Schizosaccharomyces pombe: one gene and its partner. The protein of the gene in region 2 interacts with the protein of the main gene of each other region in a pairwise test. Each region holds a gene or a part of one and is shown on either strand. Other genes may lie near its edges. The genes, in order: gtp1 and gir2.

Region 1 (3,932 bases), on a different chromosome or scaffold from region 2:
TAAAATGCCTAATATGATGGGTCATGCTAACAAGGATGAAGAAATATTTACTTTAAAATATAGTTCCAGAAGCAGTTGGATTTAAAAAGCATGGAGACTTCCTATTCAAAGTATCGAACATACTTTATTTTGAGGGTTGTTATTGGATTGAAGCCGATTCAATGCAAAACACCGATAACATCAATTAATTTATGTTCACTATTATAGGAAAGGAATATTTACAATCTTTTTATGTATATAGTTTTTTAATGAAGCAGTTCAACTTTGTTTTGCTTTATAAAACTAGGTATGTACTGAACAAAAATATTAGCATTCCTGTAAATTTAATAAACGAAAAATTTTTCCTATTTATTTTGTCACAATAGTAACCACATCTCCTTCTTCAACTCTATGATTTAAACCAACAACCTGGGGACTATGTTTTGCAGAAGTACCCCATACAAGTGCATATTTTAATTGTTCAGCCAATGTTCTGTGAATCCTATTACAGACTTGCTCGATTGTTGATCCCTTGCGCACAATCAGGGCTTCAGAGAAGTCGGGCATTTCTCCTTTCCGTTTAGTATATATTCTGTAGAGATTGAGTTCTTCCCAAATGCGCTCTTTAAGAAAGTCAAGATTCAGCTTCATATTACAGCTAATAACGACAGACTTTGGTAAACGAGCAAGTCGGTCCACTTCTTCCAACGAAACGGCATCAATCTTACTATAACAATACAGACAATTGATATATCGCCGATTTCCCATAACAAGATCAATAAAGTCATCCACGGTGATGTCTTCACGAATTAGGATATCTGCATTGTGGATTCTGTATTCATGTAAAATATTGTATGCCATTTTGTAATCCATATGAGTTAGAGGAACAGTGTGATTAAATTTAATGCCCCCATTTTTTTTTATGGTAAGGGTCACATTTGGTGGTTGTCGATTTAAACGAATGCCAACTTGTTCAAGTTCATACTCAATTTTTTCTCGCTGATCGGCAGCTTTTGTAGCATCCAAAACCATTAAAATTAAATCAGCTGTGCGTGCAGCAGATACTGCTTGGCGGCCACCTCTTCCCTGAGAGGCACCTTCAATGATACCTGGAAGATCTAACATTTGAATTTCTGCTCCATCGTATTCGAGTACACCTGGAATAGCCGTTAAAGTAGTGAATTCATAAGATGCAGTCGCCGACTATATTACCATTGTTAGTAAAAAAATAAAGTATTTAAAAAGAAATAGCAAACCTTCGTTTTCGTAATAGCAGACAGCAAAGTAGATTTACCAACAGATGGAAATCCAATAAATGCAACTCTAGCATCACCACTTTTCAAAACATCGAAGCCCTCCCCCTTTGGCCCCGATTTTGAAGTAGGTTCAAGTAATTGAGCCCTCAGCTTGGCGAGTTTTCCTTTCAACTAAAGGACTAGGTTAGTTTAATTTAGAGTTGATTCTTTATAAGTTGGAACAACATTGTAATATTTGCTATAAAATAAAAGGCATTCCAGTTAGAAATGAATTAAAAAAACTTACCAAACCAAGATGGTACTCCGTCGCCTTATTTTTTTGCGTCCGGCGCATTTCAGCTTCAATCTCTTGAATCTAGCCAATTTAGATTAGTATATAACGGCAGATATTTTTATTTACTTTTTCTAAGACACCCATTTTCCCATTTAATAACCTATCGTAGTGTGGTAATATGAAATTGTTGCTACTTTCAAGTTTTTACTGCGTATGGCCTAAGACAAGATTCAAATGGAGGTTGAGGAGATGGAATTCTTCCAGTCAGCTTACGATCTAAATGTACAGCTGAATGTTTTTCTAGTAAAATACTGCATGAAAAGATGAAATTAAATTACAATATCCACGACTAATACGGCCTTTTACAAGCCTCTTATAATGAATCCATCATTTATACTAAAAATTAGTAATTTGAGTTAATATTAATAATGGACTTATATTTTATTTAATTCTCGAAAGGAATATAGTTAATTTTCAATACTTGATGCACACACCTTTCCTCAACAAAAATAAATGAAACTAAGGCTCCAGTCCTTTACTTAAAAAGGATATGCATTCTAATTATACAATATCGATCTAGTAAAATTATACCTTCAGGAATTCAACTGAAGTTCTTGAAGTTTCAACTTCCTTCGTCTTCTCCTTTCCTCTAATCTTTTCTTTGCATTCGCAGTACGTTGATTTGGACTCTTCAAATCATAATCCACGCGAGAACTAGTTGCAACTTTAACTTGTGGTTTTTCAACATCAGCACTTGTAGTTACGTTCGCTTTTGATTGGTATACTGACGTTGGATTTGTTTTTCCAAGGTTTGAGCTTAAAGAAGATAACACGTTTGGCGTCACTCTTGCTTTTGGCAATTGCTGCAAGGTAGTAGCAGAAGATAAGCTACCACCATCTTGTGGGAAACTAAGTTTCGACGGTAAGTGGGACTTCTTTGCTGCTATTGAAAATGGAGCAGGTGTAGGAGTTTGATTAGACTGCATTAAATTCATACGTACTTTGGAAGCTGCGGAAATAGGAGTTGATGAAATTATTCCTTCAGAAGGTATTAGGTTTGTCGTATGGGACTTTTTTGATGAATGAGTCAGCATTTGAGCTGCCAAATGCGACATATCTGCTCCCCGATGTAAATTCTTGGAAGGAACCTGTTCTTGAGGCTCACGCACATCAGATTGGGATGGCCTAGAAACAACTTTAGTAGTAATCGGACTTGGCTTAGCAGTATAAAGCTCCCTCATTTGGCTAAATCTATTTCCAACGAATTCCTTGCCTTTGTATTTTGACTGTTGTCCTTGATGATTATGGATTTTCTCCGTTTCTAAAGCTCGACAACGTTGTTTCCAAAAATTGATTTCCTCTTGTTTCTCTAAAATTAAGGATTCCAAACGCTCACGGATAGAGGTTAATTCTAACTCAAGATCCGAATGAGCAGAATCTAGCATACTAAACTTTTGCTTCCAGTATTTTCCTGAAGAGGAACGAGGCGCATCAAGGTTTATCGTATAGTCAGGTTCATCCAAGCTCTCAGAGGGAAAAGCTTGGGATGTGTCAATCATAACGTCTTTAATAATTTCCTTCATTTTTCGATTATTGTTCACAACATCTCGAAAGCAATCCTTCATTAAACTTGACCAGTCATTATTATTGTTACTATCCCATTTGAATTTAGAGATCTCGGCATCCATCGAGTGAGGATATTTTTTCTTTGAAGGGACATCTTCGCCTAATCTCTGATTGCTTTTTGTCTCATTTTTATAGGATTCATTGATATTAATATTATAGCGATTATCAAACTCGTCATGCTTACTTTTGTTTTCATTATCCGGATTATTAATATTCGGTTTTGGAGTACTCTGTAACAAAGGGGATTTGAATTCTTCATGACCCATTAAAGGATTCTCATCATCTAATCTCGTAAATAAGAAATTATTTTTCGTTGGACGATTCCACGTCGCAGCATCTTTTGAAATATCTTTGAAATTGACGGTCTTCTTTATTTGTAAAGTACCTGGAGTTTTCAAAATCCCATTTTGTGCTGCTTTACTTTTTAACGGAGTTAATGTCTCAGTTGGGCGCAGGTCTTCTTTTGCGTCTTGCGGAAGTTCTGCATCAGATTCTGCATCCTCAATGTAAGAGGACATTTTTGTAACAGGCTTCGTCACAGTTCCTGCTAATTTACTAGAAAATGCTTTCAAAACCCATGCATATGTTGGCGGAGTGTTCAAAGTTTCTAAATTTTGAGATTAGCTTTGTTTACATAGGAATTCCTTACCTGACATTCTATCGGATCTCTGAATTGTTCTGCATGTAAAAATATAATTAAAAATATAAATAATTTAAACGAATTTAACAAAATTATGTCCAAACAACCCAACTTTAACAATATTTCCCAATTCGGTGGTTTTCAACGTATGGCACAA
Region 2 (3,932 bases):
AACTCAACTGCCGAATGAACTAGCCCTGAAAATGGATGGCGCTTAAGCGTACTACCCATACCTCACCGTCTGGGTTAGCTTTGAGAAGCTCAGACGAGTAGGCAGGCGTGGAGCATTTTTTTGTATGTAAGAGGCAAAGAAACTTTGTTGAAACAAGTAACGTATTAATACTCTTTGAATTAGTTTGGCTTTATTCAAAAATAGCGGTGAATTAAATAACAATAAATTATTGATGTATTGAATTTAATTAAGCACTGATAAAATGTTATAAAAGCGTGTTTGTCAATTGTTACCGATTCAGTACAGTGTAAGGACAATATAGGCATATTTGCCATTAGCCTTGCTTTTTAGCTTTACACAACGAAAATAATATAAATATTAAAACATATGAATTGTTAATACCGTTATGCAGAATGCAAGACGGCATCGATTGAAAATCATTGTAAGAAAGCCATGGAAAACAAAATCAGGCAGTATACAAAAAAGATATTTAATACCCAACCCTGATTTCAAGTAAACTTCTATATTTCCCAATTTTATTTATATTTATTTAAAGGTTCCTGCCTACCTTGGATGAAACAACAATAAAGTAACGGGATGAACTAAACCCAACTTTAAGCCTCTCCCTCAACATCGTCCAACTTGACCAAATTATTTTCAAACAATTCTCTTCCTGTCATTCTTTTCTCCAATATAGCCTTCCGTGCATTACTCGAAGATGCAGCACTCAAAGCCTCCTTTAGTTTTGACTCTTGCTCTAATTTTAGTTGCTCATTCCGCCAAGCATCAAATCCTTTTTTCCATTCCGTAAATGATTCAACCGTTACTGGCGTTCCATGGAATTTTTTATTTTCCTGTTCTGCTTCCTTTCGATGTCTTTCCTCTATAGCTTGTGTTTCGCGCTGAGATTGCTCGATAAGAATGGCGTTAGTCTCCTCCTTAGCAACAGAACATAATGAAAATATCATTGCCATTCCTAAGCATTCCTCTGCCTATATATGAATGATTAGTTATATGATGGAAATTATAAATATGCATCAATGCTTAATAAAACAGTGAAAGAGCTTTCCTAGTGGACAAAAGCAATCCTCAGCTACTTCTATTCTTGTTCCCTTTTCGATTGTATCTTAACTGGTTCATACATTTTGAGCGACAACTTGTTTTAGTCTCTCTATTTCCTCTTCACCAAGCCAAGGATGAGGTTCAGAGAATGTAATTTTAACGTCGGGCACTTCATCTGGATAAGCTTCACTGAGCTGACACGTGAAAATTAAGGAGGCTAATTGATCGTATAAGTTAGAGAGTCGACCATAACCAAATACTGTTGTAAATTAAAAAAAAAAGGGCTTACGTGGATTATCGCAATTCGATTCTTCACGATCAATAGGTTGAGTAATCTCAAATGTACTGTCGTTTATACCTAACTAATGTTAATCAATAAATTTTCCAATTGATGGTCTATTAAATTTGCAGAGCAAATATTTGAATCAATAAAATATTATGCACATTTATGAAATCTCACTCTTTCCGAAAAAATTTATAAACAAATAACAATATTTGACTTACATTTAAACTCTTCTGGATATATTGATTCCAGGATTTCCCGTTCTTCTTCGATTGCAGAAGTCATTTGCGTGAAGGTGGAATGCAAATGGGCTATGGCAGGTGTAGAAACTCGAGATCAAGGTGTAGTAATCACCTGAAACAAAAAGCAGCTATAATGTACGTTAAATTTTCGCTCTTAAGAAGAAATATATTTATAAAGCTATTTATTTGGTAGCTAAATAGTCAGACTGGTACAAGCGTTGACACTATTGGAAAAGTTAAGTAAACAATCCTTGATCCATCTCTGAAGAGAATGATTAGTAATGAAGGATTCAGTGCCTTTAAGAAAAAAAAACCCCCCAATTGTCTTTTCAAGCACATTTATATTGTTATGTATGGCATGTAAATATAATGCAGCATGTGTAAAAGAATATTGGACAGTTGAAAGGACCATGCTTATTTTTAAAAAAGGAAAAAGAAAATAAAGCAGATGAATGAAATTGTAATACCAATCTTTTGATTTGTGGGTCTTTTCCCCTTTATTTCAGCTCGAGGTTCTCTTTCTGAAAATCAATAAATATAGCACGAATTGTTTAATTATTTTCTTGTTGCATAGCTTCGGTTAAAATAAATATATAAAACAGCCCTAGTATTTCCCAAATGTGTTTACTAGTCTTTTCATATTTTCACCGGCCTGTTGGTTTTAACTGATCAAAAGTCATCAAGCCACCTGTTTTTCACTGCAAATATCAAATTCATTTCAATACAATAGAAAAAATGATGTGAATTAGTTTGCATAGAAAAAAACCTGAGACTAGAACTGGTAAAAATTTCTGTGCATTCACAATTGTGGGGAACTGAAAAAATAGAGAATCCAAAATGGGGAGAATCCGATATAGACTATGTTAAATCTAATAAATTTATACTCCAACCCATTCACTCTAAACTCAAGCTTTCTTGTAAAAAACATCAATACTGTTTTCTTAAAATTCCATCTCTATTACTCACTAAAAGAGTATATAAAATATTAAAGAAGCAATTGTTCAAAAAGTGGTCGCATGATGTAGTCGGTTATCATGTCGATCTAATAAGTCGAATGTCGCCAGTTCGAACCTGGCTGTGACCATATTTTTGCTTCTCAAAATTAACAATATTGTGAGCTTGCACTGAAATGCTGTATCTTACATACCGTTATTTTTGTAAATAGTGTATCGTTAAAACAATACCTTCTAATAGTGGATAGCGCACTCAACGGTTCTGATGCTAAAAAATGTCACATTTCCTCTATGCAAAAAGGTTGGATGTCTTACCTAAATCTTAGGTGTGTGTTTTTCTTGTGCTAAAATTATGGAAATGTCACTGTTTGTGATGCTGGATTCCGACTGATTCACTCATTTGATGAAAAAAAATGAGGCATTTTTCTTCTACCTCCATCTGCTACTTGGATGTTACTTTGTTGGAAGAAAAAATCAATCGAGGTATTATTGCGCTGTAAAAGAGCTGATTTTAGGGACAGAAATAATCGCTCATTTCGTAGGTTATGGTATATATAAGGAAGGTGTGATAGAGACATTCCTGGACGCTTAACCTTGAGACGATTGTTTGACTGAAAGGCTTTGGTAGAACATTGGGTTGGTTAGTTTAATCGTTTAAATTCAGTTTATTTACTTGTAATTTTTCATATTGGTCGAAAAATTGGTTTTTTTTAGCAAAATATAGAAACAGAATATTTTCTTTGAAATCTGTATAAATTCAATTTGCTCTTCAATTCGTTGAGATTCTGCCCATTGATTGCCGAAATTTCGTTCATTTTATAATTGTGTTTTCTTTCTTTTCTTGTCTCTCATTTTCTTTTTCTTCCTTTTGATATTCATTTCTCCATTGTGTTTCGTAGGGTTAATTTTCATCTGCATATATTCTGTTTTCTTGTTTTTTAAGAACAAAAATTTTTCATCTAAATATATAATTGTCAAAGTTAGTAAGATACTGGTCTTCCCTAATCTTCAAGTTTTCTTTTAACTCTTTCGTCCTTTTTTTCTAAAACTCATTTACTACTCTTCTGGTTTTTTATTTTTCCCTAGAAGTCATGTCTTTCTTCTCCGCTGCAAAGCAAAGTCTGGGTAATTCCCTCATTAAGTTAGGAACATCTATGGCTCAAAATTCCCAAGGCCCTGTAGATGACTCTAGCTTGTCTCAATTGGAGAATTTGCTCCCACCTTTGCAAATTTTGACTGCTAGAGCCGCTATGGCTGCTATGAACATGTCGAATGATACATCCATGTCTGGAATGAACATGACCAACAGTACGACACCCATGTCTGGAATGAACATGACCAATAGTACAACATCCATGTCTGGAATGAACATGTCCAACAGCACAACATCCA

The links.
Region 1: the proteins of gir2 (region 2) and gtp1 interact in a two-hybrid assay, tested with the Schizosaccharomyces pombe proteins (one large-scale study listed by BioGRID).

What each region holds. Positions count from the first base shown.
Region 1 is NC_003423.3:541,142-545,073, reverse strand, and holds gtp1 (GTP-binding protein Gtp1), read right to left. Parts: upstream 1,730-3,932; 5' UTR 1,654-1,729; coding exon 1,636-1,653; intron 1,591-1,635; coding exon 1,522-1,590; intron 1,407-1,521; coding exon 1,236-1,406; intron 1,183-1,235; coding exon 349-1,182; 3' UTR 238-348; downstream 1-237. Other genes in the region: translocon alpha subunit Sec61, read left to right, coding at 1-3; protein Cut12, read right to left, coding at 2,103-3,742, 3,785-3,791.
Region 2 is NC_003421.2:814,828-818,759, forward strand, and holds gir2 (RWD domain-containing protein), read right to left. Parts: upstream 1,659-3,932; 5' UTR 1,631-1,658; coding exon 1,567-1,630; exon of another isoform or gene 1,421-1,566; coding exon 1,352-1,420; exon of another isoform or gene 1,280-1,351; coding exon 1,143-1,279; exon of another isoform or gene 993-1,142; coding exon 615-992; 3' UTR 260-614; downstream 1-259. Other genes in the region: Cu(2+) transporter complex subunit Ctr4, read left to right, coding at 3,632-3,932.